Linked DNA regions of Oryctolagus cuniculus. The protein of the gene in region 1 interacts with the protein of each later gene in a biochemical or structural test. Links are inferred from orthologs where the notes say so. Each region holds a gene or a part of one and is shown on either strand. Other genes may lie near its edges.

What was found.
Region 2: the proteins of YAP1 (region 1) and TTYH3 interact in a test that uses a peptide from one of them, tested with the Homo sapiens proteins (2 studies listed by BioGRID and IntAct, with this or other methods). The link is inferred for Oryctolagus cuniculus from reciprocal best matches to the Homo sapiens genes YAP1 and TTYH3.
Region 3: the proteins of YAP1 (region 1) and TRERF1 interact in a test that uses a peptide from one of them, tested with the Homo sapiens proteins (2 studies listed by BioGRID and IntAct, with this or other methods). The link is inferred for Oryctolagus cuniculus from reciprocal best matches to the Homo sapiens genes YAP1 and TRERF1.
Region 4: of the proteins of YAP1 (region 1) and JOSD2, one has a biochemical effect on the other in vitro, tested with the Homo sapiens proteins (2 studies listed by BioGRID). The link is inferred for Oryctolagus cuniculus from reciprocal best matches to the Homo sapiens genes YAP1 and JOSD2.
Region 5: the proteins of YAP1 (region 1) and NHERF2 form a complex in vitro, tested with the Homo sapiens proteins (2 studies listed by IntAct, with this or other methods). The link is inferred for Oryctolagus cuniculus from reciprocal best matches to the Homo sapiens genes YAP1 and NHERF2.
Region 6: the proteins of YAP1 (region 1) and ERBB4 form a complex in vitro, tested with the Homo sapiens proteins (2 studies listed by BioGRID and IntAct, with this or other methods). The link is inferred for Oryctolagus cuniculus from reciprocal best matches to the Homo sapiens genes YAP1 and ERBB4.
Region 7: the proteins of YAP1 (region 1) and PTPN14 form a complex in vitro, tested with the Homo sapiens proteins (3 studies listed by BioGRID and IntAct, with this or other methods). The link is inferred for Oryctolagus cuniculus from reciprocal best matches to the Homo sapiens genes YAP1 and PTPN14.

Annotation. Positions count from the first base shown.
Region 1 is NC_091432.1:93,686,062-93,689,534, forward strand, and holds part of YAP1 (transcriptional coactivator YAP1), read left to right. Parts: intron 1-28; coding exon 29-141; intron 142-1,945; coding exon 1,946-2,184; 3' UTR 2,185-3,473. UniProt on the Homo sapiens protein: Transcriptional regulator with dual roles as a coactivator and corepressor. Critical downstream regulatory target in the Hippo signaling pathway, crucial for organ size control and tumor suppression by restricting proliferation and promoting apoptosis.
Region 2 is NC_091450.1:37,340,299-37,344,915, forward strand, and holds the start of TTYH3 (protein tweety homolog 3), read right to left. Parts: upstream 2,919-4,617; 5' UTR 2,703-2,918; coding exon 2,580-2,702; intron 1-2,579. UniProt on the Homo sapiens protein: Calcium-independent, swelling-dependent volume-regulated anion channel (VRAC-swell) which plays a pivotal role in the process of regulatory volume decrease (RVD) in the brain through the efflux of anions like chloride and organic osmolytes like glutamate.
Region 3 is NC_091436.1:127,715,337-127,719,199, forward strand, and holds the end of TRERF1 (transcriptional-regulating factor 1), read left to right. Parts: intron 1-2,468; coding exon 2,469-2,793; 3' UTR 2,794-2,938; downstream 2,939-3,863.
Region 4 is NC_091449.1:7,409,931-7,414,679, reverse strand, and holds JOSD2 (josephin-2), read right to left. Parts: upstream 3,066-4,749; 5' UTR 2,696-3,065; intron 2,483-2,695; 5' UTR 2,266-2,482; coding exon 2,120-2,265; intron 1,208-2,119; coding exon 1,082-1,207; intron 806-1,081; coding exon 611-805; intron 524-610; coding exon 424-523; 3' UTR 248-423; downstream 1-247. Other genes in the region: translation initiation factor IF-2, read right to left, coding at 1-41; ASPDH (aspartate dehydrogenase domain-containing protein), read right to left, coding at 3,321-3,364, 3,665-3,819, 3,893-4,116, 4,197-4,346, 4,444-4,528, 4,682-4,749. UniProt on the Homo sapiens protein: Cleaves 'Lys-63'-linked poly-ubiquitin chains, and with lesser efficiency 'Lys-48'-linked poly-ubiquitin chains (in vitro). May act as a deubiquitinating enzyme.
Region 5 is NC_091450.1:33,196,454-33,201,005, forward strand, and holds the start of NHERF2 (Na(+)/H(+) exchange regulatory cofactor NHE-RF2), read right to left. Parts: upstream 3,051-4,552; 5' UTR 3,001-3,050; coding exon 2,788-3,000; intron 1,101-2,787; coding exon 900-1,100; intron 1-899.
Region 6 is NC_091434.1:28,236,198-28,240,223, forward strand, and holds part of ERBB4 (receptor tyrosine-protein kinase erbB-4), read left to right. Parts: intron 1-2,665; coding exon 2,666-3,111; 3' UTR 3,112-4,026. UniProt on the Homo sapiens protein: Tyrosine-protein kinase that plays an essential role as cell surface receptor for neuregulins and EGF family members and regulates development of the heart, the central nervous system and the mammary gland, gene transcription, cell proliferation, differentiation, migration and apoptosis.
Region 7 is NC_091444.1:28,668,484-28,672,509, forward strand, and holds part of PTPN14 (tyrosine-protein phosphatase non-receptor type 14), read right to left. Parts: coding exon 2,739-4,026; intron 1-2,738. UniProt on the Homo sapiens protein: Protein tyrosine phosphatase which may play a role in the regulation of lymphangiogenesis, cell-cell adhesion, cell-matrix adhesion, cell migration, cell growth and also regulates TGF-beta gene expression, thereby modulating epithelial-mesenchymal transition.

The DNA.
Region 1 (3,473 bases):
TTATTTATTTATTTATTTATTTTGGTAGCGGTACCTATCACTCTCGAGATGAGAGTACAGACAGTGGACTGAGCATGAGCAGCTACAGTGTCCCTCGAACCCCGGATGACTTCTTGAACAGTGTTGATGAAATGGATACAGGTTGGTATTCCTTATTTTAGTTACCTGACCTCTACTCAGAGATAATCATAGTATCACCAGGTCCAGTAAACCATGATGAGCAAAAGTTCTTTAGAAGAAAGCCAGTTACAATCCTATAAACTTCATTCAGTTTGAGCCAGCTTTGTTTATGTATGCTGATTTGTAATTTAAATCTTTTCCTGGTTTTTCAGTATCATGGATTGAGTATCTTAACCCTATCTGAATAAAAATAACATAACTTATTTTAACATGCTAATAGATTGGTAATTGAGGACCCTATTAGAAGTGTCTCCCTGTTTTAGATTTGTGTTTTTAATTTTGGAGAGAGTATTCTGTACTTGATTTAACGTCTGCCTGTCTCTTTTCTCTGAGGGGTTTTGGCTCAACTTTGTTATGGGGCTCAGGAAAATGGATAGGAAAGGTTATATGGTAGGCCCATCTACTTTATTTTTAGAATAGTTGTAGTGGTGTTTCAGGAGCTAAGAAATACCTGCCTCACAGGGACATTTAAGGAACCATTTCTCCTTTGCTTTTCCTGGTGCCTACTGCCCTGGACTTTAGAGCTGTTTCATGAAGTGGCAAGAAATGGAACAGATCTGTAGCTGGCGGGCTCTGCATGTACCCAGCAGCTTCTCTTGTGTGCCTGTACTTACCCAGCACCATGGCTTTGGTGCTCCCTAGAGTTCACCCCACCTCCTTGTTTGTACTTACCTTGATCTTAAACTACCCTTAGGAGTCATTTCAGACCTATCTCATGCACCATGCCTCTCTTCACTCTTACCATTTTATTTTCTCTTTTTCTCAAAACCTTTATAAAAAGTGCTCAAAGGATTAGCTTTTCACAAAGCATATTCTGTTGAAGCTCTGAGGAATGTTAATGTTGTCATATGCAAAAAAAGTTCTGTGGCCAGGTGAGTTTAGAAACAGAGAAGCAAGACTCTTACTTAGAGACTTGTAGGAGGTTTGTTTTGCTGTTGTCAATGTGACTCTCCAAGAGTCTAATAGAATATTCATGCAGTCCTTGTATTGTATTTTAGTATTCCCCAAAGTGTACGTAAGAGAAAAAATAAGGTCTGTACCATTTATTTAATTATTTACTTATTTAAATATTTATTTATTTATTTGAAGGCAGAGTTACAGAGAGGCAGAGGCAGAGAGAGGTCTTCCATCCGCTGGTTCACTCCCCAAATGGCTGCACTGGCCGGAGCTGGGCCAATCTGAAGCCAGAAGCCAGAAGCCAGGAGCTTCTTCTGGGTTTCCCACTTAGGTGCAGAGGCCCAAGGACTTAGGCTGTCTTCCACTGCTTTCCCAGGCCATAAGCAGAGAGCTGGATTGGAAGTGGAGCAGCCAGGATGCAAACCAGTGCCCATATGGGATGCCGGCACTACAGGCAGCATCTTTACCCGCTATGCCACAGTGCTGGCTCCTCTACCATTTGTTTTTATATTACATCTCATTGTGATGGTTAGGGTAGTAATGCTACTGTATAGTATACTTGTTCTTTTTCACCCTGCTACATATAATTTTTGAAGGGATTTTTATTTTTTTCCTGATCCCCTTCAGTGCTCAGCACATAAGCCATCAAACTGTTGGTTAATATCAGAACAAATGTTGATGAAAAAGTAAACTTGGTATTGTTCTTTTGTTATCTGTGGGTGGTAGAGCCTAAAATAAATTCTGGGCCTCAGTTCAGATTGGTCAGGCGTGCTTTTCTTTCTCTCTGTATTTCTGGATGTTCATATGATACACTTCTGATGTTACCTTTTTTAAAAGGCCTTTATTAATCGCTCTCTCTCCCGACTAGGTGATACCATAAACCAAAGCTCCCTGCCCTCACAGCAGAACCGTTTCCCAGACTACCTTGAAGCCATTCCTGGGACAAATGTGGACCTTGGAACACTGGAAGGAGATGGAATGAACATAGAAGGAGAGGAGTTGATGCCAAGTCTGCAGGAAGCTTTGAGCTCTGACATCCTTAATGATATGGAGTCTGTTTTGGCTGCCACCAAGCTAGATAAAGAAAGCTTTCTTACATGGTTATAGAGCCCTCAGGTAGACTGAATTCTAAATCTGTGAAGGATCTAAGGAGATAAGACATAATACCTGATATTTCCAAATAAGCCGGTCACAGTTTTCTGGCCAATACAGAAACAGATGAACAAACGTCCAGCAAGATTCTTTCATCCACTCTTCTGCTCTTCCTTGTCCATTGCTGCTGTTAATATATTGCTGACCTCTCTCACAGTTGGCCTTAAAGAATCAAAAAACAAAAAAGCAAAAAACAAAACTGTTTTATTTCTTTTGCTATTATAACTACTGTTCATTTGGGGGCTGGGGGAAGTGAGCCTGTTTGGATGATGGATGCCATTCCTTTTGCCCAGTTAGACGTTCACCAGTCATTTTAACTAAGTACTCAGACTTGGAAGTCAAATGCTTCATGTCACAGCATTTAATTTGTTCAAGCAATTGTTTCTTCAGCTGCCTTTGGCCAGTGGGAAAACAAGACTTACTGGTCTGACAAGCCAAAAATGTTGTATCTAATATTGAATGATTAATGCTGATTTGAAGAGATAGCTGAAACTAAGGCTGAAGACTGTTTTACTTTCAGTGTTTTTTTTTTCCTCCTAGTGCTATCATTAGTCACATAGTGACCTTGATTTTATTTTAGGAGCTTATAAGGCATGAGACAATTTCCATAGAAATATATTAATTATTGCCACATACTCTAGTATAGGTTTTGGTGGATATTTTATGGTTTTTTGTTTGTTTGTTTTTGTTTTTGTTGGAACCTAGGCAAATTACCATATTAGTGAGTCTGTTTATAGGTATAGCTTGGAGCGATTATTGTAGTTCTTTTGGTAAAATCTACATTTCCTAGTTTTTTACCATATTATTTAAATCTTGATTATTCGCTCTATACACACACACACACTTAAAATGTTTATAATAGTGTGATAGCAGAATGTATCTTTGTTTTTAGGTTTCTCTACTTTCCAGTTTATTTTTAAAATGGTAGCTTTGAATGTATGCATTTAGAGTACATGGCTAGTAGTTTATATTCACAGATAGTTTAAACTTGATTGGGGTAACCTACAGATGTTTGAGGTAGTTTAGTATTCTAGAAAGGGCTATTAACATGGATAGTGCCTAGAGGAGTACTGTATGCCCTCTGAACACATAATAAGTAGTATCTGATGAATTAGAAAGGAGCAAACAAGAAAAGGCTTTCTTTTCCCCCTTAGACTTCCCTGGACTAATTTTGAGTCTTGATGGGAAATCACTGAGTAGGTTTATCATGTACACGACAGAAGTAAGCTTTATAATGGTTTGCT
Region 2 (4,617 bases), on another chromosome or scaffold:
GAGCCTTCCCTGGCTGCGGGGCTCCTGACGCCCCCATTCTGACCCCACCCAGACTGTAACCGTTCTTCTCTCCCCCTCCCACCCCTGCCCCGGGCAGCTCCTGGCCTGCCCGGACCAGGACAGCGCCTCCGAGTCTCAGGGCAGACTGAGAGCAGACAGCGTGGACGCCACCCCTGCCGGGCCCAGAAGCGCACGGGCCGCCCAAGGTCACAGGGTGAGAAGCGCCAGGGCTGGGGCCCAGGCCTGGCGCTCCCCACACTCCAACCGGGGGACCCCTCAGGAAGGCAGCCAGCATGGGCCTGCCCAACCGGAAAATCAGGACTTCCCTGCGCGGCACCACAGGCCCTGGGCCAGGTCAGGTGCCCCGGCCGCTGGTCTCCGGCTCTGCCAGCTCAGCTGTGGGGCCACGCGGCCGCCTCTGATCCTCCCCCGGCCACTCGGGGGCCCCAGCGGAGGCTAGGGAGCAGCACGGGGCGACCCACAGGCACCGTGGGGCCCGCCACTCAGCAACCTCTCGGGCCCAGAGGTGGGCGCAGTGGCCAGGAAGATGGTGGCCCAAGAAGACACCGTGGGTGCAGAACCCACCCTCGGCCTGCAAAGCCCAGGGCTCTGGGTGTCCTCAGAAGGGCCCCATCGGCTCCTGCTCCTCCGGTTGCAGCCTCGCAGTGGGGTGGCTGTGGGGGCCCCAGAAGCCCTGCCCCACGGCTGACCGGCTCCTCGTGGGGCAGCGGAAAGAGGCCCGAGCAGGATTCTGGCCCCACCGCTTGCTCGCAGGGATGGTGAGCCAGGTCCCGTCTCTCTGTGCCTCAGTTTGCTAATCTGCACAAGGGAGACGTCCCGGGGCTATATGCAAAGGGGCTAGTGACAGCCAGCCCCACACGGCCCTGTCCTGGGGCCCTCCCCACATCTGGGCAGCTTGAGAGGCAGGAGCTGTCCTCTCCAGCAGGGCCGACCAAGGGTCCAGGGCACGGGGAGCTAACAGGGTGCCGGCCAGCAACACCGCACCTGGACAGCAGAACGCGCCTCGTGCCAGGCCCCATGCCCACCCTGGAAGGGAGCTCCTGGCTCCGCCCCCTGCAGGAGGCACAGCCAGTGCCAAGGCCCGGTCCAGGTGCCGAGGGCTCAGGGCGGTCCAGCCCTTGCCCAAAGCACCTGAGCACGGAGGGTGGGGGCTGGCCGCACGTGCGGGTGTGGCTCCGGCACAGCCAGCACCGGCGCGGAGGCGGCAGGATGGAGGCAGGCCGGTTTCCACGCTGTGAATTATTCAGTGGCTAATTCTGCTCGGCGCAGAGAGGGGGCAGGAGAGTGAGTCAGAGCCGCCCACAGGGGAGCAGGGGGCAGGAACCAGGGCTCCCCAGGGCCTGAGGCTCTGCTGAGCAAACCCGGAGGGCCGGCCTCAAGTCCAGCTGGGGTGGGCAGCCCCAGTGCCCGGGCGGAGCTGAGACCCGGATGAGCCCTAGGGTCACAGAGCGTCCTGGAGGAGCACACACCTCTTGTTGGCTCACACAGGGCCCGCAGGGGACAGAGCCATCTCCCTGCCACGTTCCTGGGGCACACGGAGACGGCCCTCCTCCCGCTCGCTGTCTCTGGGCCTGTCCGGGCCAATCCCGCTCCCCTTTCTAATCTGCTTAGAAAGGTGGTCAGCTGGGGGACCGGCGCCCAGGGAAGCGCCGAGGCCGGGGGCAGCGCCGTGCTCCCCAGCACACAGGCTCACCCTCGGCTTCCCGTGCTCCGGAGAGGCGAGGCCACACACAGCCCTGCTCTGCGAGAGTGAGGTGGCAGATTCCCCGGCCCCATCCCCCGCCCCCAACAGGCCCAGCCGGACAGCAACCCAGAGGTGCCGGGGTGACCACGCGCCCCCGGCTCGGGGCTTTCTGGAATCCGGATCCCCGTGCAGGAAGGAAATGACCACAGCCTGGTCCCCTGCCTTGCACTCTAATGACAGTGGCTCGGCGCTGGGGCTTGGCACGGGGCCAGGCCCGGGCTCCTGGGGAGAGGGCTGCAAAGTGCTCCCTGCCACCCCCCAGCTCTGCCCAGGCTCAGCCCCTTCCAGCCTCCCGGACGGGCCCACCTTGGGTGCCCACAGCGGCACGCGGCATGCTGTGTGTACATCCCGGCGCCCAGCCACAGGGGGCTGGCGTCTGCCCAGGCCTCTCACCCACCCAAGCCTGGACATGGGATTCCCCAGCTGGGGCGACGGGGCGAGGGGGCGAGGAATCCCCTCTGCCTGCCTCAGGCCTGCTAGCCTCTGGTTAGGAGAGGAACCAGGCCGGCGGCCCCCGGTGAGGAGCTGGCCAACAGCAGGCAGGCGGCAGGGGGCCCGTGGAGGGGAGGGGGCCGGCTTCCTGGAACCCTACAAAGTGAGGCCTACAGAGCTGGGTGGGTGGGGGCGGCTGCAGCCTGGAAGGGGTCTGGGACCCTTGGTGGGGGTGGGGTGTATTCAGGCCCTTGAATAGGGGGCCCCCCGGAAGGAAGAGGGGCTGTGGCCCACGAGGAGGGGGCCTGATGGGGGTTGGGGGAGTCGAGGGGGCCATGATCCGGGCCCCTGACCCCGCGACCCAGGGGCCCCGTCGCGTCACCTGCTGGTAGTCGCTGTCCTCGGGCCGGAACTGGCTGCTGGTGGGCTCCCAGCGCAGGTCGAAGTGGGGCAACCGGTGCAGGAGGCTCACCCACCAGGGCGCCGCGTAGCTGACCCCGGCCATGGCGGGCCCGGCCGCCTCCGGCTGCACGGCCGCTGCACGGGGCTCCCTCGCTGGGCCCGGGCGCGGGGTTCAGGAACCCGCGGACCCTGGCCTGGCAGCCTGCATCGTCCGCACGCTCTTGGGCCCGGCCCGGCCCGGCTCGGCCCGGCTCGGCTGCGCTCGGCTCCGCTCGGCCGCCCGCGCCCGCCGCCTCTTTGTTCGCCGCCGCCACCGCCCCCTCCGCGCCCCCGCCCGCCAGCCGGAGGCCCCGCCCCCGTCCCGCCATTGGCTGTCCTCCCCCCTGGGCCCGCACCCTCCCCGATCACCCGCCCACCGGTCCCGCCTCTGAACTGTCATTCGTCGACCTCCCTTCGGGCACGCCCCCTATCCCTGGAGCGCCCTGCTGTCTCTGCACTTCCATTGGTTTTTTCTCTCTTTGGTCCCTCCTCCGAGTCCGCCCGCCCTTTCGTTGCCTAATGGCCCCGCCCCCTGGAGGTCCTGCCCACAAGTTCCGCCCCTGCCCCGCCATTGGCCCATCATACTAGGCTCCGCCCACTCCCTCGCCCAGCCACGGGGCGCCTGGAGGGGAAGGCTGGGAGAACGGGTCCTCGATCGCCCAACGGGCCTCTCTGGGGTCTGGGAGCTGGAACCTGGCTGCACACGCAGCTGTGCTCATCACGCGTCCCCTCGTCGGTTCCACTGCTGCACGTGGGTCCCATGTTTGCAGCGGGGGCCAGGCTGCAGGTGCTGGTCTGTCTGGAGTCCAGCCTGGACCCTGCCGCCTGGGGCAGGTTCCTTGACCTCTCTGTGCATGAGGTCCTCGCGCGTAGGCGCCGCGAGCCGCCCGGGCGCCAAAAGGCTGTGTGTCTCAGGCAACTACGGCAAGGCCGTGGCTTTTGTCAAAGCCTGAGCCCAGGTGCTCACCCTGGTGCCCAGGCAGCTGGCAGGAATGGCAGGTCTGGACTTTGGAGCCGCAGGGCGGTGCTTCCTGCTGGGTCCCCGGGCAGTGGAAGCCAGGGAATGCCGGCCAATGGACTTAGGACAGGAGCTCAGCCAGGTGGGGAGAGCGTCCCTGTCATCTCGCGTGGGTGCAGCCCCTTGGCTCTGCCTGGTCACCGCCCTGGCTGGGTGTGCAGCCTCTCGGCCTGCCTGGTCACCGCCCTGGGGCCTTCCTTCTGGACCTCCTGCGCTCTGAGTAGCAGCTCTCCCCGCCCTGCCCTGGGCTGCTCAGCGGGCGCTGTGGCGGGCGGACGGGCCCTGGCTCGCAGGCCGTGGGTCTGTCCTCAGATCCTGTGACTACCCTGGCCTCCTCGTTTCCTGGGACAAGGCCTGCGGCAGGTCTTTGGAGAAGTGTGGTTTCCTTCCTCTGGACAGCTTAGAGCTCGCCCAGCAGGGACGTCCGATTCCCCATCTGCAAAGCCAGAACTTGGGGGGGGGGTCCGCCTCAAGCATTTCCTCCCCAACGCATCAAGCTGCAGGGAGCCCCAAGGCCATGTCCAGGGGTAGGTGGTACCTGGAGAAGTCACTCCTCTCACCTGCCCCAGGTGACTGCTGGGCGTGGCCACCCTTAGCCTCGCAGGACCAGCCGAGCCCTCCAGGGCACAGCAAGGGGACAGCCCACTGCTGCCCCCGTCCCGGGCTGATTCCGGCCTCAGGATCCCACAGGGTGAGGCTCCGAGGATGGGCAGGGTCGTCACGGCCACAGACAGAGGCCACGTTGCCCCCACGGTGGTGCCTCCTCTCCCAGGGTCTGTGTGGGGGGCGTGGGGCCTGGGGCTTCCTCCCCCTGTGTCCCGAAGCCTCGCAGAGCTGGGCACTTTCCTCTAACGATGCCCAAACACCACGGGAAACCTGACCTGGTGCCAGCGCCCGGCACTGGGCCTGCAGCCTCATTGGAAGGGCTCCGGTGGTGCTGGGGTAGCCTGAGCCCTAACCC
Region 3 (3,863 bases), on another chromosome or scaffold:
GAGGCCCTGCCAGGAAAGCCCCTATGGGTCCCGGGGCCCTCGCTTGCACAGCCTCAGGGGGCCTATGAGGTATCACCGCTGTTTACCAGGGGCTCGCTGTTTGCCTGGCAGTGTTTTAAGGGGTGTCTTACGTGTCTTAATGAATCTGTAGAATAGCCCTCCGAGGCAAGTACCTCCTGTTTATAAGCAGAAATGGAGCCGCCAGAAGGTTGAACTACTTGTCGCAGAACCCAGCCAGCGGCCAAGCAGGGATGCAAAGCAGGCCGGCGGTGTGGGCGTACGTCCCCCGCCTCCCACCCCGCTGCCTCTGCGTGAACCCAGCCCCACTCCGCTGCACCCCTCGCAGTGAATCGGAACTCACGGCTCTTCCCCTCTGCAAACACAAGGATAGGCAAGATGAATGTAGATGTGGGTCTCCTGTGCTTGAGGGCCCGGATGTGACGTCACCTTCATGTCACCACCCATTGAGGGGACCATGAAAGAATGAACCTCCCGTATTTACTGGAAAAAGTGACCAACCCACCTGGAGCTGACTCTCAGTCCTCTCCCTCCTATGTGTCCTGAGAAGTGTGGGGGCATTGGGGTCTTGCCCAGTTTCCTCTGCAAGGAAGCAGCGCCTTCCCTCGTTTGACTCAAACAGGCTCCAACGCCTTATTCCACCAGGTGGAGACAAAGGACCGTTCAACAAACAACAGTTAGTACAAGTGGAGCCTCCCTAACCTGAAAATCCAAAGTGCTCCAACACCCAAAATACTTAGATACCGTGTGACAAGTGGGGCACTCCATACTGTGAAACTTTTTGTTTCATGCACAAAATTATTACAACTGTGTGTAAAATTGCCTTCCATCTCTGTGTAGAAGGTATATGAAAAAGTGCTTTTTGTGTACATGCAAATTATCTAAAAGCTAAAAAAAAAAAAAAAAAAGATCAAAATCAAAAATGCTTCTTGGGCCCCAACATGTCAGGCAGGGGTATTCTACCTCCACGTCCCATTTCTGGCTGTTTCTCATGGGCACCTGGTACGTGTGTGTGTTTGTGTGTGTGTGTGTTCATGTTGCTTGAGATCTTTTTCTGCCAGAGTTAAGATTTCATAGAAAACAGAAACATGTTCTGTGGTTTTCCAGATTAGGAATAACATGAGGCACATGCTCGCAGCGTGTTTCAGCTGCTATAATTGTGTTCATTACATTAAACAGTTTTCAGTACGGCCAAGTGGGATCGTGATTCATCGGCCCTGTTTGACGCAGGCTGTAAAAATCAAGATTCCTTTTTTTTTTTTTTTTTCCTTTAGGAGCTCAGGAATTAACCTGGCGTGTTTATGTTCACCCCTCTTCATAAACAGGCTGTCTCACACCTGGGCAGATTTTTTCTGAAAAAGCTCCAGATAGTAAATATTTTAGGCTCTGGGGGCCAGACTGTCGCTGTTACAACCGCTCAGCTTGGCCATTTGGCAGTATATAAACAAGTGGATGTGGCTGTGTTCCAATAAAGCTTTATTGACAAACCCAGGCTGGATCTGACCCACTGACTGTACTGGCAGACCCCCGGCCTAAAGGGTTAGCCCCCATCATACCATGTCCTCTTACCCCAGCGTTTCTCAGCCTCAGCACAGTGGACATTTCGGGTCTGATAACTCCTCCTTTGGAGAAAGGGGGCTGTCCGCTACCTTGCTGGGTGTTTAGCAGCCTCCCTGCATACAGAAGTACTGCCCTCTCCCCCAGAAACATCTCTGGGCATTGGCCAGATGCACCCTGGGAGGGCGCACGCTCCAGCTGAGAAGCACTGTGTCCTGGGAAAGCCAGGAACCTTTGATAACGTAATGACCAGCAAGAAGGTTCAGAAGTAACCATCGGGGCGGGTCCAGCTCGGAAGCCCAGCACAGCCAGGACAGAAGAGGGGCCGCTGGGTTTGACCACACACAGGGGCTGGTGGCCTTGAGAGGAGCACCCAAGGGGACCAGAACCTGAGGGGGAAGGATAGAAGAGACAGAGGAGATGGTTTACCCTGTGCACGCATCCTCCAGGAGTGTGACTGTGGAACGACGAGGCCCCAGGCAGAAGACGGGTTGCTTTTAGGAATGGCAACTCCCAGAACGCATTAGCTCGACTTGAGGGTTCTGTGGTAGGGAGGGTATGGTCGGCGAGGGGGAGAGAGGAAGGAGAGCTGACCTGACGAGGAGACAGAGCAGGTGCTCCCAACCCCAAGTGCACAGGAGTGCCTCCACGAATTTCTCCTCCATTGTCCCTAAAAGGGAGCCGGGCGCACTGTGTGCAGCGCTCCTGTCCCTGTCCCGCCTCCTCGCGGAGGAGGGAGGCGAGGTGACAGGTCCCAGGGGGAGGGTGTACAGGAGCCTGTCACGTCCACCCCAGACCAGACAGCAGATCACGCACACCCCTTCCCTGCAGGTCACCCGGACTGCCCAGCACTCCCCTTCTGAATTTCACACGCCGCTTTCCTTCCTCTGCAGAGTCTTCTTCAAGATCAAAAGCCGAAACGCACACATGAAAACCCACAGGCAGCAGGAGGAGCAGCAGAGGCAGAAGGCCCAGAAGGCGGCCTTCTCGGCGGACATGGCAGCCACGATCGAGAGGACTACGGGGCCGGCGGGGGCGCCGGGGCTGCTGCCGCTGGACCAGCTGAGTCTGATCAAACCCCTCAAGAGCGTGGACGTGCTGGACGAGGACGTGGTGCAGCAGCTGGGCGGCGGCGTGGAGGAGGCCGACGTCGTGGACACGGATCTGCTCTTGGATGATCGGGACCCAGTGCTGCTCCAGGGGGACACGGAACTGTAGAGCCCGCCGTGCCACTCAGAGACGGTGCAAAGCCATGGCCCCTGTGTGCAGTCTTCAGGAAGCCCGGACTGACTGCTCGTGTTTGCAACCCTTTTAAACTACCTGTTTAAAAAGTGGTCGTTTTATTCAGGTTTCTGAGGGGGGGGGGGAAAACCAGTTTCTTTTCCTTTTGTTAAAAAAAAAAAAAAAAGTTGTGTGGGGGTCGGGGGTGGGGGAATAAATGCTTGGCGCAACTGTCTATAAGAGGTGTTTCATCTGGGCGTTCTCACACTGCGTCCTAGCAGGGAGCATGCCTGCTGCTCATGGCCCATTGCTGTCATGTCAGCCCTCCTGGGCGGCTCCCCCAGAGCGTGCTGCAAGTGCGCGCGTAGGAAGCAGCCCACCCCCCTCACGCTGGGGTCTCGGGAGGAGTTAACTTTTACTCTGTTCGGACCAGCCAGGAAGCATTCTTCCACCCAAAACCATAGAAGAGCCTGTTCTTTTTGGCCACACTGAGAATGGTCAGTGGGGTCCTGAAATTGTTTTGTGCCACTTGGAAGTACCAGGAAACCTCCACCGTGGAGATGTGGCTGTAATTCACATCTGGTGAGCTACAGTTTACTGTAGCTGCGAGAAATAGGATGGAGTGGGATTTTCCGACACGTGTGAGGGCAAATACAAAGGAAGCAGCATTGACTGAGGCTGACGGAATGGTTTCAGATACACCTTAAGGGCCGTGTTTGCATTCAGATGTTCAATGTGTTCTCACAAGTCACTTAGCAAAGCACTTCTAGACCTCCCGGCTACATTGCGCGGCTTTCTGTTTGTACTTGAAGGTACTAGACCTCTAATCCTTCACATATGTCATCGCCCAGGCTTTTGAGCTGAGTCACACTGACCCGTCCCACCGGGAGGGCAAAAGCCAGGCGGGGACACAGCCCCAGCACGGGGTGGATCCTGCTTCTAGCGTGGAGTGACTGTCCGAGCAGGTGCTGGCAGGCCTCAGCCCGCCTCAGGTAGGCCAGGTGCCCCCAGCGCCCTGTAAGTGTGGCTCGCAGGCTGGGCTGCGTGGCTGGCACAGTCTTGGCATT
Region 4 (4,749 bases), on another chromosome or scaffold:
CTGTAGTTCTGGCCCCCGCCGCCTTGTGCCTGCACCCACATCGCCCAGGAGACCCCCGGCCCCCGCCCCCAGCCTGCCCTCGGCTGCCTCTGGGGACATCCTCACAGGGCCAGGACTGGGGCTCCTAGCCACCTGCCCGAGAGCGCGGGGGGGGGCCCTCTGAGCGCTCCCCACTGAACGTGTGCCCCGCGTGCAGCCTGGGGGCTTCCTGCTGCACCCCCAGCGAGCAGAGGGGCGTGGCCAGACCAGCAGCAAATCACAGATTTATTGAGGCAGCAGCGGCTTGGGGGGCGGGGGAGTGGGGAAGGGGCGGGGCCTCCTCCCGGCCCACGAGGCCCCAGGCCCTTCCCCGGCACTTGGCGCCCGCGAGGCCTGGCAGGGACCCCGGCGGGCAGGCAGCAGGCGGACAGGCGGCGGCGGCGGTCAGTCCGTCCGCAGCCAGCAGCCCTTCTCCTCCACCTCCTTGGTCACCACCAGCAGCACCTCGCACAGGCCCTGGGCCAGCGCCGCGGCCAGGAAGGCCCTGGGTGGGAGAAAGGGGGAGGCTGAGCCCAGGCAGCCGCGTGGGGGTGGGGGTGGGGTGGGCGGTGGGGGCCCTGCCCCCGCTCACCTGACGCCGTCCTCGTCCCCCAGGGCCTCGGGCGCCCGCAGCTTGGAGTCCAGGTTGTAGTAGACGCCGTCCACCTGGCGCAGGGCCACCCAGTGCCGCCGGCGCAGCGGCAGGGACAGCAGCCCCAGCGAGACGGGGGAGGGCAGGTTCAGGATCAGCCCCAGCACCTGAGGCAGGGCCAGCTGGGACAGCGGCCTGCGGGCGGAGGGGACGAGGGGACTCGGTCGCCGGCCCTGCCGCCCGCCCCCACCCCCTCCCTCGCCCGCCCACCAGATCCAGGCCTGTCCAGTCTCCAGCACAGCCGCCGCCCATCCGCACCTCCCTCCACCCCCCCTGCCCCCCCCGCTCCTCCCTCACCCACCCACCCACCCGTGTCCTCCCCACTGCCGCCAGCCCACCTGCTCCTGCCCAGACTGCCCGTGAGTGGGCCCTCTAGCTCACCCCGTGGCCACGCGGCGCCCGGGGCCCTACCTCCTCCTGTCCCACCACACGGCGGCCAGGCCCAGGCCCTGCAGGGCGGCCATGATGACGTTGACGTCATAGCTGCCGGTGCCCAGGAAGCTGCGGTGTGGGTTCAGCCGGGAGTCTGGGGCCAGCCTGGGGGGCGGGCGAGAGTCGGGGTGGAGGCGGGGACCCCCTCTCTTCCCACACCGCAGGAAGGGCCCCTCGTCCTCGACTCATCCTTGTCTTCAATGCCCCCCAAGACCTGCACCTCTGAACCCCGACCCTGCCCTGCACAGAGCCCCTCGGCCCCTCTCGCCATCACCATCCCCCTCCTCTGTCCTGCAAGCCCACCCAAGGCGTCGCCTCCCTGGAGATGCCCGCTGACCCCCAGGCCCGGCCCTTCAGTGCCTGGGACCGCCTGGATGGCCGCCACTGGCCCCACTTGTCTCTGGGAGGACCCTGCCCCCGCCCCGCCCCCCCATCGACCCCGTCCCTCCTGCTCGCCCAGCGCCCACAGCCCTGCGTGGTCTGCTCCCTGCTGGCTCCACCTCCCAGCCTATGCTCCAGGCCCAGGGCCACCCTGCACCCCCACCCCATGTCTCTGGGCCCAGCCTCATCCAGCTTTGTCCCCAGCAGGCCCTGGGGGGCAGGTGGGAGGGGACAGCCCACCTCCCGCCCCCACCTCCCGCACAGATCCCTCGGGGGCTGTGGGTCAGCGGCGCAAGGCGGGCAGTGGGGAGAGACAGGCAGGGCCACTTCTGGGGTGCACGGGTGGGGTCAGGGGGAGGCCGGTGGACCAGGGCCAGGCCTGAGCCGGTGGCTGGGAGGGACAGCAGGCAGTGCAGACGCGATGCAGGCGTGAAGTCTGAAGTCTGGGCCGGTGAGGGCAGCCACGCCCGGCAGAGAGAACTAACTGCCCGTGCAAAGGCCCGGGGGCAGCACAGTGCGGGAGGCCCAGGGCCCGGGGCGCCAGGGGGACGGGCAGCAGGCTGGCTCCGGGGTTGTGTGGAGGCTGCACCGGCGGAGGCCCAGGTAGGAGGCGGCGGGCCGGGCGGTGGCGGTCACCTCTTACAGATGTCGTCGGCAGCCTCCTGGCTGAAGAGCCGCTGCTGCAGGACGTTGTTGAGGGCGTGCACGGCGCACAGCTCCAGGCGCTGCCGCTCGTGGTACACGGAGGGCGGGCGCGGCCGAGCTCCCGGGGCCTGGGACATGCCGTCCTGGGCTCCTCCTGCGGAGGGGGCGCAGAGGCCGCTCAGGGGCCCAGGGCCTGGGGGCGGCTTCCTCCATGGAGGGCAGGGCCTGGGCAGCCGGGGACGACACGGGACCCCCGCGCCCTGGCTCTCCAGGGACAAGGCTCCCTGGCATCCGGGGCTGGCGACGGAGACGCAGCCCTCCGCGGCCCTGGGCAACGGGACCCCCGCTGGTTACCTAGCAACGGAGGACCCCCCCCCGACAACAAAGTCTCTGATTACCCAGCGAAACCGGAAGTCTCCTCCCCTGCCTCTGGGTGACGGGGGAGGGGTCTCTACCGGTCGCCTAGCAACACCAGAGCCCGCCTTCCCCTGGCAACCAGCCCCCTCCCCGGACAACAGGAAAAGCAGCGCGGTGCCCAGGTCCCCTGCGCCTGGCGACGCCCCTCACCCCGTCGGCCTCTCTGCTCCCCGGAGCCGGGGGCTCCCGCATCCCCTCGGACGGCGGCGCTGGGCTCCGAGCGCGGCACGAGCAGTTCCGCGCTGACGGGGCAGGCGGGACGGACTACAGCTCCCAGCGACACCAGCAAAGTGGACTACAACTCCCGGCGGCCCCAGCGGGCAGGGCCGCTTAACCCGGAAGTCCGCCGTCGCCCCTCCAGGGCGCGCGACTATAACTTCCGTGGGTCGGGGGAGGAGGGGGTGCAAATCCCGGAAATGCGCCCCGCGCCCGCCCCCTGGCTGCGACCGCGCCCACGGCCGCTCGGAAGCTCCTGGGAAACGCAGCGGGTAGGTTCTCGCGATAGCTTCCGGGCCTGTGCCCGCCCATTGCAGTGGCGTCACACGCGGAGTGCGGACGCGGCGTGACGTCACGGAAGGGAAAGAAGGCCGGGATGGTGGGGGAGGAGCCTCGGGTCTTTACTGAGACTGGAGGGACATCCCGGGAAAGGGGGGCCGGGGCCTGGCCGGGGGTGGGGCGGAGGCGGGGAGGGTCCGCCCGCCGAGGGGCCGGCCGGGGAGGGCGGGGGCGGGGAGGGTCCGCCCACCGAGGGGCCGGCCGGGTGGGCGGAGGCTTCTCAGCAGAGGTGGATTCCGGGCCCGGGGGGCAGCTGGCGGCAGCCTGCGGGGGAGACAGGAGCTGAGCCGGACCCCCGCGGGGGCACGGGGCAGTCGCGGAGCGAGAAGGCTGGGGGGCTCGGAAGTAATGGACGTCGGGCCAGGCGGACCCAGGCCCCCCGGCCTCCGGTCCCCCGGCCCTCCGCCCCCCAGACCCTGGCCCCGGGCCCCTGCCCCCGGACCCCCGGACCCCGCCCCCTGGATCCCCGGGCCCCGCCCCCAGACCCCGGTCCCGCCCCCCGGACCCCGCCCCCAGACCCCCGGCCCCCGGATCTCGGGACCCCGCTCCAGGGGCCGGCCGCACCCAGGAGGCTGCGCCAGAAAGCCGCGACGGTGGCCGAGCCCGTGACGGCGCCCGGCTCTGCAGGGTTCTCTCTGTGGGTGTGCACGGCAAAGCGCCGGCCCGTGGGCCCCGGGGGTCCGCGCAGCTCCACGTCCACGACGTGCATGTCCGCGAGGCTGCAGGAGGCGGGGGGGGGTCAGTGTGGGGGCCTGCAGCCCGCGCGACCCCTCCCCGCTCAGCTCCGCTCACCTGAGATCGGCCACCAGCACCCCGATCACGCCGTCGAAACCCAGGCTGGGGGCAGCCAGCGCAGCGGCCGCCATGGTGTTGGAGTTACGCGGGGCAAAGGGGCAGAGTCCACGGACGGGGCCTTCGTAGAGGACCGTGCGAGGCCCAGTGCTGTGGGCTGCGGCAGCCAGGGGTCCCTCGAGCCGGAAGCCATCCGGGTGCGTGGCCATAGTGACGCGGAGGCTCTGGGAGCGGGGGCCGAGGTCAGAGGGGCTGGGGTCCTGCAGGCCCCCTCCGGCCCCGGGGAGCCCAGCGGGTCCCTCACCTGGAGGCCTCCGGCCGCGTCCAACCTCATGATGTCCTCAGCGCCCCACAGGGCCCCTCGAGCCACAAACACAGCGTGGTTCCAGCGCTGCGAGGCCTCCCGGAGCTGCCGCTCGGTGGTCGGGTCAGCCAGCGCCGAGGGTGACCCCACCTGGCCGTGGGTGGAGGCAGGGAGGGGTGGGGTCAGGGACGCACGATGGGACCGAGACAGGAAGGGCTGCCAGGTTCCGGGCCGAGGTGGGGCTCACCAGGAGATTGGCATGGCACAGGATTTGCACCCCATAGTCGTGGATTATTTTGGGATGGGCCACTTCCACCACAAGATCAGGGTGCCTGGGGGGGGACAGAGAGGGGCAGGTCCTGGGAGAGGTGCCAGGCTTCCCTACCCCCTGGACCCCCATCAGAGAGGGATGGGATCACACGGCAGCCCAGGGGGCCGGAGCAGGAGCTCCGGGAGCCCCGCGCACCGGTGGTGAGGCCACTGACCTTTCGCCAAGGGCAGCCAGGCTTTGGAGCTGCAGGGGAGGGGGCACACTCCCTGCCATCCGTCCCTG
Region 5 (4,552 bases), on another chromosome or scaffold:
CTGAGAAAGACTGCGGCTCCAGGCCTCAGCCCGGGGGCCCTCCCGCAAGGCAGCCGGGCCAGGGCTCCCTGCAGAGACTCTGGCCCTCGTGGCCCTGGGGCAAAAGTCCAGGCTCCAGGGCTCAGCACCTGCGGCCCTGACCTCTCGGAAGGCCAAGAGTGTCCCGTGGGCTCCCAGGCCAGGCCTTGCCCAGGACAAGGAGTCCCACCGGGAGCGCCAGCCCGCCCAGGACGGGCCCCCCGGGGCCCAGCTCACAGCGCAGCCAGCTGTGGTGGGAGAGGGTGGGAAAGGAAAAAGGTCCACGTGAAGGCCCCCGCCCACCCCACACGTTAGGCCCAATACCTCCACTGCCCCCAGGCCGGGGGTTCTCAAAGCGGAATCTGGGGAACCCCTAGGCGGAACCCCCCAAGGGATGTGGTCAACCAAAGAGGTAGGAGACGGCTCTTCCCCAGGGCTCACATGCTTGCCCCGCAGGGTTACTTCCAGGTCCCCACCCCTCCTGCGGCTGGGGGGTCTTTGCTGAAGACTGGGGGAAGGGTGGGCTCGCCCTAGAAGCTTCCTGAACCAGGCTGCGCACAGCAGCTTCTGGGGCCAGCTCTCTCCGAGGGCTTCACCCTACACTCAGACCAGACAGACAGACAGAGACGCAGACGCTGCTGAGGGGCCAGGCTCGCTCCTTCCCAGGGTCCGGTGACTCCGCCCACCGGGCAGGAAGGGCCTCGTCGCCCTGGGCCAGGCTAAGGGCAGGGACAGAGAGCGAGCCGGGAAGGGGGCCGAGCTGTCCTGTCTACCCCCAGTTAGGAACTCGGACTGAGAGAAGAGGGACCCAGAAGGCAGCCGGGGCGGGGTGAAGACTTGTCAAGAGGCCAGGGTGGCCGCACGGGCAGAGGCTGCCGTACCTTCTGGCCAGCGTCAGAGCTCAGGCTGCCTGCACGTGCCCAGTCCGGCTTTGGCTCCCAGGGGTCGTGGGCGGGCGGGAGCCCTCGCTGGGCCATGTCCTCGGTGCAGGTGAGCTGCCGCCGGCGCAGCTCCTCGTCCGTCTCCTTGTCCACTACCAGCAGCCGGGTCTCCCCTTCGACAGCCTTGATCCTCTGCACCACCTGGGGCAGGCAGGGACGGGGGCAGGTCAGCGGCCGGCAGCCCGGGCAGCACGTGGACGGTGGCACCACTCCGGGATGGCCTGGGCTGGCAGGCAGACAGGCAGCCAGGCTGCCAGGGGTGGGCGGCTGGCCCCGCCGGCTCCGCCCCCCGCCCCCGGCTCCCTGACACAGCCAGCCCTGAGCTGCTCTCAGCCCAGGGTGGAGGTGACCAAGACGGCACTGAATGAGCTTCAGGGGCTCGGTCTGCCCGTGCGTGTGCACACGCTCGTGTGTGCGCACCATCTGTTTCCAAGTCTGCCTTCCAGCCCAGGTTGGAGGCGGGAGGTGCTGTCGGGTGTTAGTTTGGCTGTGCATGTTCGCTTGCTTTCAACTTTCTCACGGGAATCTCAACCTGCCCTAGACACAGACCGTCTGCCTGCAGACCACAGACCCACTCCTGCTGGGCCTGCGGACAGCTGAGAGCTGGGTTCCCGCTCAGGCCCCCGCACACGGTCGGGTAAGGAGGACAGCGGGGAGAGGGGCAGGTCTGCCCGTGGCACAGGTGCGGCGTTCCAGGCGCTGTGTGTCTGGGAGCACACAGGGTGCCAGCGTGTGCCAGCAGGGAGAGGGCAGTGCCCACTATGGCCCTCGGCCTGTGGAAGAGCGGAGCAGAAGGCTCCCACCTGCTGCCCAGCTCCCCAGATGCTGTCAAGCAACAGGGGGAGCGAGCCAGGCCCGTCCTCGCCCGGCCCTGCTCCCCGACTTGTGACCCAAACTGAAGCTCCAAGCCTCAGTTTCCATATTTGTAAAGCAGAGTCCCGGCCGCACCTCCTGGGGCTGGGGCTGGGTGTGAAGTTCTCAGACAAGTGCCCAGGGGCCCGGAACAGCAGGTGCAGCTGGAGCGAGGATGGCCATGGCTGTCACACAGAGGCGGGGTGCCAGCTCTGCCAGCCCTGCCTCCCCCACCTGTGGCCCTGACCCCCACTGCACTTCAGCACACAGCACCGCTCTACCCAGCTTCCAGTCTCGCTGGAAGACAGAGGCTAGGGGACCCCGGGAAGCCCGGCCAGTGGCTCAGCTGTCTGCTAACCCCTAGGCCCAGTACTGGCCACGTAGACAGGCCACAGGCTCAGCGGTGCTGTGAGGGACACGGAGCAGCCGGAGCAGCCGGTCCGGAGGGAGGCTGGACTCTGGCCAGGATCTGAGGTGAGTCCCTGGCCAGCGGGAGACGGACATCCCAGGGGTTACAGCCTGCAAGGGAAGAGGCCCTACCCTCTCCAGCTGCAGGAGCAGGGGGCAGTGGCCACAGCGCCCCGAGGAGGGTGAGGGTCGCAGCAGCTATGGAATGTGCCACCAGGGACTGCCAACTCGCACCGGATCCAGGCACCCCGGCTGCAGACACACTGGCCGGTCTACACCGCCCAGACGCGCAGGGGCCTGGCTGCTGGCACCCACACGGGCAGGACCCCGGAGGCCTTGCGCGGTCACACAGTCCCACAGGCTCAGGAAGCACCCGGGTTCACCGACACACAGGCTGGAGCCAGGCGGGGGGAGGGGGCCGAGGGCCGGCTTGGAGCCGCAGTGCGGCCCCTCCCTGCCAGAACGCCTTCCCCCGCGCTGCGGTGCGGGGCTGAGCGTCGCGGGGGAGGTGCGGGGCCCGCCACCCGCAGGCAGCGCCCAGCCGGCCGGGGCGCAGCGCGGCACCCACCTGGTGGTGCGTCTCGCCTTCCACGTTGACGCCGTTCACCTCGACCAGGCGGTCCCCCGCGCGCAGCGCGGCCGCCTCGGCGGGGGAGCCGGGCTCCACGCGCCGGATGAACTGCCCACGGCGGCCCTTCTCGCCATGCAGGTGGAAGCCGTAGCCCTGCTCGCCACGCACCAGGCGGCACAGGCGCGGCCGCAACGGCTCCGGCGCGGCCATGGCGCCCGCTGACCACCGGCCGGCCGCGGGCTGGCCACGGCGCTACGGGGCCCGCAGGCCGGGGCGCGGGGGCGGCGCGGGGGACGGGCGGCCGCCTCGGCGTTGCGCTCGCTCGGCTCCAGTCGCCTCGGGCTCGGGCTCGGGCTCCGGCTCGGGCTCCGGCTCGGGCTGGGGCACCGCCCCCGCGCCCGCCCCTTCCCCGCCCCCGCCGCCCGGCCGCCCCCGCCCCGGGTCCACGACGCGCTGGCCTGGCCCTGCCTCCCGGCCCCAGCTGCCCGAGGGGCTCTGGAGGGGAGGCTTCAGGGCCGGGGAACCCCTGTGTCTGGCAGCACGTTGGTGCCAGCGCTTCTGGCTTCCTGTGCAGGGCCTAGAGCCGGCTCCTGAGCTGGGGGCCAGGTGGGAGACAGTGGCCCCAGGCAGAACCCCCAGGGAGGCCCCGGAGTGAGGCCCTGCCTGCCCTCCCTGGGCGGTCCTTTGCCCACCCGCACGGTTCACCTGCTCCCCAGCCACTGCCCTCACCCCCGGGACCCTCCCGCAGCCAGGGCTGCCCTGCACAGAGCCCCACGACCTGCCTGGAGGCCCCTGGAGGCCGTAGTGACAGGGTGGGCTTTGTGTGCCCGTGGGCTCCCTAGAGGTCGGCCCTCCATTCTCGCACTTGGCTGAGGCCTACCCCAGGCCCCGGCAGACCCTGGAGTCCCAGGCTGCAGGGTCGGTCGGGGGCTGGCCTCCTGCCCCGAGACTTTGGCCTCTGTACTCTGTGGTCAGCACCGGCACACCTGAGCCGAGGTCTCTGGCACCTGCCCCCTGCCTCTGCCACGCCTCCCCTGCCCTGCGGCTGACAACCGCCAGCAGCACTTTGCCTGGCCAGGCCTCTCCAGGTGCAGTTTTACTGGCACAGAGGGAAGCACCCCTCCCCCAGGCCCAGGGCTGTGCGGCCCAAGCCTGCAGCCTTCACGGCTGAGGCCTGAGGCGGCCTGGCCTGCCCCGCCCCAGCCCAGCAGGGACCCCTGCCCATGCCTGCCCCAGGGGTGGGGCGCAGCAGTCCAGACAGTTCCCAGGTGGGCCCCAGTCCTCACCCCTTGCTCTCCCGTCTCCAGTTCTCTTGGCCTGGGCTCTCCAGCCCCCACCCACACCGTGGCCCCCTGGGTGCCCACCTCCAGGAGCTCGTGGCATCGTGGGTGCCCCCACCCTCACCTCTGCAGGTCTTGAGGGTCGGTGCCTTGGGCTGACCACCCGCCTGTCCAGCTGCAGCTGGCACCCTGGACCCTGCGCCCACTGTGTGCCCCCACCCCGCAGCGCCCAGTACCTGCCAGGCTGTAGCTTTGTGGCCACATTGTTTGAGGGGTGAGGAAGTGTTAGGTGGGAAGTTAGAAATGAGCCTGGGTGTGTGTTAGAGCCCTGCCCCAGGGGACGCTCCCCGGGCAATCCGCCCGCCGCCCAGCAGTAACCCTCAGGCCTTCCTCCAAGGCAGGCGCCCTAGGGGAACCTCCCGAGGGCTCCCCAAACCTGGAGAGAAGGGGGAGGGGGTAGAGAGAGAGGCGGGGGCGAGGGA
Region 6 (4,026 bases), on another chromosome or scaffold:
GTTTTTTTTTTTTTTTTGTTTTTTTAAGATTTATTTATTTATTTGAAAGGCTGAGTTACAGAGAGAAAGAGGGGAAGAAGAGACAGAGAGAGCAAGTTTCCATCCATTGGTTCACTCCCCAAATTGCTGCAACAGCCAGAGCTGAACTGATCCGAACCCAGGAGCCAGGAGCCAGGACTTTCTTCTGGGTCTCCCATGTGGATGCAGGGGCCCAAGCACTTGGACCATCTTCCACTGCTTTCCCAGGCACATTAGCAGGGAGCTGGATCTGAAGTGGTGCAACTGGAAACCATATGGGCTGCTGGCACAGCAGGCTGTGGCTTTACCCACTATGCCACAGCACTGGCCCTTGTCTGAAGCTTTTGATAACACCAATAAAAGATTTGGTTGATCCATTTAAATAGTGCCACTTGAATAATATAGTTTATTATGGGAAATTATGATTTCTTGTAAGACACATTTCAAAAATTAAAGATGTGACATTTATATACCTATATGTATACCTCCAAGTCTTGAAAATAACAGGTTGTGGTTTTTCAAGACACAACAATGACTTTGTAAAGTTAGAGTAGAATTGTTAAACATCCACATCAAATGATTCAAAAAATTTTTGGAGTGCCACAAGGTGCTTTCTTCCATGTTAATGGCATCATGAAATGGATAGGACAGATGAACAGATGATTGTTATTAGAAAACAATGACCATGGGGCCGGCGCTGTGGCATCATGGGTAAAGCTGTCACCTGCAGTGCCGGCAACCCATATGGGCACAGGTTCAAGACCTGGCTGCTTCACTTTCTATTCAGCTTTTTGCCATAGCCTGGAAAAGTAGTAGAGATGGTCCAAGTCCTTGGGCTCCTGAACCTGCATGGGAGATACAGAAGAATCTCCCGGCTCCTGGCTTCGGGTTGGCACAGCTCCAGCTATTGCAGCCATCTGGGGAGTGAACCAGTGTATGGAAGACCTCTTTCTCTCTGCCTCTCCTTCTCTCTCTGTGTAACTCTGACTTTAAAATAAAATAACTAAATGTTTTAAAAAAAGAAAGCAATGATCATGTCTGTCAGAGTCTTCAGTGGCAGCTTCAACATCTATTTTATGGCTCAGTATGGGTCCTTTTCTATGTGGTTATGTTCACTTATCAAATATAATTTAGAGATTCCCTAAATACATATTATAAATTCAAATAATCTGTCAAGATATAGAAAAGTTTTAATTTAATGATGAACTGTATCTTGGTGACACATATGTAGGTTTTCTGAAGATTTGGCAGATTGTCTTGAAAGCAGACTCCTCTCTGGAAAGATTGTCATTCAACCATAATGTTTTTTCTCCATATATAACCAGATGGTTACATAAGTTTACATGAGGACAATAGATGAGTAGATTGTATTCACAAAAGAAAATACAAGTTTACTATTTATAAAGCTATAAAAGTAAAGGTTGCACCTCATTTTTCACAAGATAGTCATTTGGGATCAATAGTGTTTTAGAAATTATTGAGCTTTCTTTAATTCATTTGTATATATTTATATGAATCTAGGATATTCATTATTGCCTTTCGACTTTCACAAATGATGCTTAATGATTAACTTTATCAAAATGCTTATATTCAGAGCTTGATTGAATTTTTGTCTTCTACATGTTGTTGGGCTAAGTATAGGGTTTAGAAAGTTTATTTCAGAATGATGGCATCTGAACAAAGACTTGTGCCATATCCATGTTCTGACTCAAAAATAGGAATAACTTAGTGTTTTGTGTATGCAGTAAAAGCAAGGACCAAAAAAGGATCTGCTCCATCTGTGTGTATATGTTTATATGTCATCTATATTATATACATAGAGATGCAATTAAGCTTGAGGAGAGCAGCATTAATTATCATCATTTTTGTATTTTAGGCTAATACTTATTATACCAGATGGATTTAGTAGACTGAGCCATACAAAAATAGGCACTAAATGACTGGTTCAAGATACAAAACAGCTATTTAATATGATTCAAACTTAGTTTGCTATTTTTCCATTATGATTAAATATTGAAAATTATTTTTGTAATTATACTTTCTTATTAAGCAGTTTCATATATAAAATCCAGAGAGCCAACTAGAAAATATTAGATGTTTTCATTCATTTTTTTCTTTAGATACTCTTCTTCCTACATATAAAAGTTCAGTGGGATCCTTGTTACTTGTACAGACATTCACAGGAAACCATATAATCTGAAACAACTATTTCTTTACTTTATTTCTTCAGTGTGGTGTAGAGTTAAGCTATTAATCCTTTGTTTTACCATATGCTTTATAAGAATTCTGACTTCTCTACATTTTTCTAGCCTGATAGGTAATCTTATTTTCTAATATAAATTACTGACTTCTAGAAAAAAGAAGCATTAAAATAACTGGTCCCATATGTAGGAAAGACAATTAAGAAGAAAAGAAAAACAGTCTGGGAGATAGGAATTCTGATCCTCACCTTGTTGTTGCCTTGCTTTGTTATTAACTTTGTTATTTCTGGTCCACGTAAACATTTTTAGTAATCCACAAATAGCTGTGAGAAACAAGTGTGCCACTTTCTTGTTCTCAACAAACAAGTTGACCTTTGTTTATAACCTTCATCTGACAAACGCTTTCCAGAGAATATATGTTAACTGTTATTTTTGTGTCCCTTCAGAATACCTGAATCCTGTGGAAGAGAATCCTTTTGTTTCTCGAAGAAAAAATGGAGAACTTCAAGCTTTGGATAATCCTGAGTATCACAAGGCTTCTAGTGGTCCACCCAAGGCAGAGGATGAGTACGTGAATGAGCCATTGTACCTCAACACATTTGCCAATGCCTTGGGGAATGCGGAGTACCTGAAGAACAACGTACTGTCTGTGCCAGAGAAGGCCAAGAAAGCATTTGACAACCCTGACTACTGGAACCACAGCCTGCCGCCTCGGAGCACCCTTCAGCACCCAGACTACCTGCAGGAGTACAGCACAAAATATTTTTATAAACAGAATGGACGGATCCGGCCCATTGTGGCAGAGAATCCTGAATACCTCTCTGAGTTCTCACTGAAGCCAGGCACTGTGCTGCCTCCTCCACCCTACAGACACCGGAATACTGTGGTATAAGCTCAGCTGTGTAGTTTTGAAGTGGAGAGACAAGCCCACTCCAGTTTCCACACCCCCTCTCTTGCTCTGGTGTCCTTCCTCCTATCCCTAAGGCCAGTAGTTCTGACACTTCCCCGTGGAAGACATAGAGATGCAATGATAGTTATGCGCTTATGTAACGTGAACATTAGAAGGAAGGGCTGAAAGAGGAAGATAGGTGGAACTTCACTGTTTCTTCATTTCTCTGCATGGGTTGGTAGCAGAATGGAACAGCTAGAAAAGGACCCGAACATGTGAGGCAGTACTGCCTGCTGCCAAACTAATTCTCAGCTCTTTTTTTCTTTCTTTTAATGTAGAGGGTTGAAACACCTGTACTATCTGTTCCTATCTGTAGGAACTGATGTATGCATAATCAACACCTCTGAAATCATAATAAAGTTTCCATCAGAACAAAAGGATAGCCCTTTCTAATATAACATACACTAGTAACCGAGATAGAGAATCCTATTTCTTTTGCCAACAGTCTCTATCTTAGGAAGTAAGAATGGCCAACCAGTTTTTAAGTCTCTATCAAAGTTTGAAGCAGTAATTATGTTTTAAAGCCTATTCTTTTAATTTTGTTTTTGCTTTGACGTGGTCCTAATATTAGTTTCTTTCCTATATTTGCCTTTAAGTTCTAACTGCAAGGATATTTACATCAAAGCTTTTTGACAGAATTTAGGTAAGAGATACTTAATGTGGTGAAATAGATACTATTTTAAATAGACAGTCTTCAAAATTAGGAGAGGAAACCAAGACATTAATCAAATGAAACAATAAATCAAGATTTCATGTTTGACACTATTGAATATATCCTCCTCTCATACTTTACATTCTTCGACATTTTCTTCTCCATAAAGTGACAGTACTTGGTAGGCAGTTGGTAGTCTTAAGAGT
Region 7 (4,026 bases), on another chromosome or scaffold:
GCTCGGTGAGTGCAGGGGACTGCACTATAATCTCGAATGTGTGTCAGCGTCACCACAATGCCACCTGCTCACCTCCGAAGGAAGTGAACCACAGGGAAGGGAAGAGTACCTGGGTGGCGTTCAGCCAGAAGGTGCAACACCCACCCTTCAGTATGGCCTCCGCTTCTCAATCTCAGGCACCAGCTTGGGGAGGAGTCTAGATTTAAATGTGTGAGTCCTCGTGAGCTTATTAGTCTGTTTTTTTTTTGCAAGAGGATTTTTTCTCATCACCCCTTTTTATTTAGCTGGGAATGTTATCAATCCTCTCCGAAGTTTTGAGAGATCAACTGTTCCTGAAAAAGGGTCCCAAGGGCCTCTCAAAGGTCTTTCTACTTTCTCCCCACTTGCACTAGAAGGTGACCCCAAGGGGGCCCAAAACAAAAAGTCAGTAACTGGTATTTCTCTTGGGAAAGAATTGCTATCTATCTGGTGAAAACTGAAAGCCCAGTGATAAATCAAACAATGTCTCTTTTACACATCCTATTAGCCTTTGACCACAGAGAAAATGGTAACTCTGAACTCGTCTGGATTCTGACGCCTGTTCAGGCAGCAGTGGGAGCCAAAGGAGAAGCCATAGAGGCAGCAGGTTGGGTGCATCCACTCAGCAGGGAAGCAGCTCCAAACCACCAACCACTCACCATACCTGTTCCCCACCCGCTCCATTTGCTGGTCTCCATTTGTGTAGGGTTTCTCATTGTTCCCTTACAGAGAGGGCCTTAGGATGGTCACGGTAGCCATCTCCTCTCAACCACCCCTATCAGGCCTACAAAGGCTGCCCATGGTGGGGAAGGCAGAGAAGTCTCTGAGATGTGTAGTTGTTCCTTTGGTCAGGGCTGAGTTGCTGCATCCCAAAATAAGGATGGAGAATCAGAGTCGCTGGCATGGTCACCGCCTTGCCTGGTCTCCTCCTCTGAGGTCTGGACACCAGCAGAGGACAGCAGTCCTTGAGTTCCAGACTTGGAGAAAATTAAGTAAGAGCAGTGGGGAAGAACCATGTTTCTGAACTAAAAGTTAATGGTAGAGTGTGTTAGTCACTATTATCCATATGGATGGAATGGAACAGAATATGGGAGGAGGGGAAAAAAAAAAACAGTGGCAAAACCCTTGCTCCTTTGATACTGCAAGGACAAATGCCATGATTTTGGCCACAGGCTATTTAAGAAGATGAACATGACCAAATGAGGTTATGGGACCATGTGGACATCATTAAGTATCAAGCTGGCCAGACCAATAGGTTCCTGAGGCTAATGTTGCTTTTAAGAGGCCTGGGGCCAAGAAGTGTTGAAAAATCCCTTTCTACAAATGAATTACTTTTTTCCAGGCTAGGAAAGCTCTCCCACAGTGGCACCCACCCCCGCACTTCACTCCCTCCCAGCCAAAAGCTATCTGTGCCAGAGACGCAGGTAATTGTTCACAATTTCCCTCTAGGTCCGCAGAAAGTGGAAAAAGTTCTGCTTGTACCAGCACTGCTCAATGATGGCCAAAACTACGAGACTGAGAATGTTCTTAAGGTTTTTCTAAAGCCGCAGAGTTGCTATGGATTCCATTTCTGACCTCAGCAACGTGGCCTCCTGAAAACCTTGGCCTCTGATCCTACTTTTCAGACGGATTCCCAGCGAGCAGTGAGGAAGACTACAAACATCGGGAGTGTAATGAACTCCATCAAAGCCAAGTTGCAACTGTTCTGGAGTGCTCCTGAATCAGGCTCTGCGACCTCTTCGTGCAGTTGCAATGAACAAAAGTCAGTCTGAGCTGCATAATTAAATGACTTTTTAAGAGTGAAAATTTTGGGGACACGCAGCAATGGAGATTTTTAAAAGCAGCAACTGCAATCCAACAAGTTTCTCGTTAGTAGATGCAGATCCACTTTTTGTTCTGTGTGTGTTGCCTGAAAACACACCAACCCCCTGGATCACGCATTTTTAGAAGAAAGACTGTTAACATCTAATATGTATCTTCAAAGGTAATAACTGTGAATGTACATGTGCACTCATGTACATGGGTGAACTCTGGACAGAGTACACCTGACAGAGAACTGAAATACAATAGTAAACTTTCAAGTTATACATCCAATATCTACAATGTTCTTGAATTGAATATCTCTTGGAAGAAACTCTGAAAGTAAGTCCAGCCATATCATTGGACATCACTGATGAGCTATCTCAACATAAAGATCTATACAGAGAGCCGTATACTGTAGGGAAGCTGCTCTTTCAAAAGCTGATTGGAGGAAAAAGTACATTTCCCCTAAAAAAGCAAAATGCCAAGAGATGGGGGGGGCGGCCAGCAGTTCAATTAGGGTGTGAGCCCCAAAGAGCAAAATGCTGGGCTAGGCGGGGACCTCAACAACCCCAAAACTCTGTAAGAACCCCTCGCACCAAGATTACGTGCTGCAAGCCATGAATGAAAGGGGAAGGTCTACTTGAAAGGGCAGAAATCAACGTCCGGTGAAATAAAATACTACCTGTTTAATGCCCACCACCCCTTTACAAACTACACGTCCACTCAACAAGCCTTGCACGCTCTTCAAGGGCTTAAAATATGCACCAAGGCACTTCAAAGATGGGACAAAAAGCTGAGCGTCTTTTGGTGCAGAAGCCACATGTTTGAAACACTTGCATCGCTTTCCCAAAACATGCATCTACTGCGAACTCTCCGCAGCCCCACGGTGGAAGTGCCAGAGAGAGGAAGACGCTTACCCTGATCATCATCTCTCTTTCTATAATGCTGTCCTCCAGGGAAAACATCTCGGACACAGGTCTCTCCTTCACAGGCTCCTTCCGGGCCCGCTCCTTCACGCTGGTCAGGTCGGGTTCGGAGATGGACGGGCCCAGAGAGGCCCCGGCTGTGGCGGGCTGGTCGGCGCGGGAGACGCTGAGGGCCTTGGCGGGCCCGTGTCTCAGCAGCCTGGCCCTGGTGACGGCCGGAGGGAGGCTGCCCGGCTCTGGCCTCAGCGCCCCGTTGCTCACGCTCTTCCTTGGCCCGGGGTACTCGGGCGGGGGCTTGTTGGGGATGCGGGCCAAGGCAGCCTGCAGCTGCGCGCTGTACTCCATCTTCTCACGGAGTGTGGGGATCTGCGCCACGGGCTCGGGCGCCTCCTCCTCCTCCTCACTCTCACTGCTGTGGATCAGCATGGTGGCATCAGAGAGTGTCTTCTTGTGCTGGTACTGGGGCAGCTGCGGGGGCTCCTCGGGCGGGCCCTGCTCGCGGAAGGTGTTGCGGCGGGCCAGGGGGATGTGCAGCGATTTGAGCGTCATGGCTTCCATGCCGCGCACCATGCAGTTCATCACCTCCAGGCTGTGGCGTTTGTTCACTGCGCCATGGTGCTTGGTGGACGTGAGGGGCTCGCTCACCTCCTGCAGGGACTGATGCACCACTGGCGAGCTGTCCTCCTGGAAGGTCTTCACCGACAGCTGCACCTTCCGGGTCACCAGGTCTGGGCTGCTGCCACTGACATACTTGTGGCGATGGCTGGCCAGGTCCGGGGTGCTGGTGGCGGGCCGGGGGCGAGGATAGGGGGGCGGCGGCCGGAAGTGGTAGTTCTTGAGCATGTGGGCCGCACTGTAGTTGTGGCTGCCTTGCAGTTGCATGTTGGCCAGCTCTGGGGTGCTCACCGTGTGTGAGATGGCGCTGGCCCCCGGCTTGCTGGGCACTGCCTTGCTTTTTGGGGTCACTGGGTCACTAGGACCCAGGAGTTTGTTTCCATAACCCCCCTGCAACGCATATGGGATGGTGTAGGGGTGTCTCTCCCGCATCTCGGGCTGGCTGTACACCAGGTCCTCCTGCTGGTTGTAGGCGTGGGTGTTGATGATGTTGAGGTTGCGCAGAGATTGGCTCTGGCTGTCCGCGTGCACAATGCCCCTCTTCATCTGCCGCATGACCGTCTCATAATCGGGGGTGGGCCTGTAAGACGGCACAATGATGGCGCTGTGCCGGTGGCTGGGGATGTAGTCAGCTCGCATGATGTCACTCCCAGGGATGCTGAGG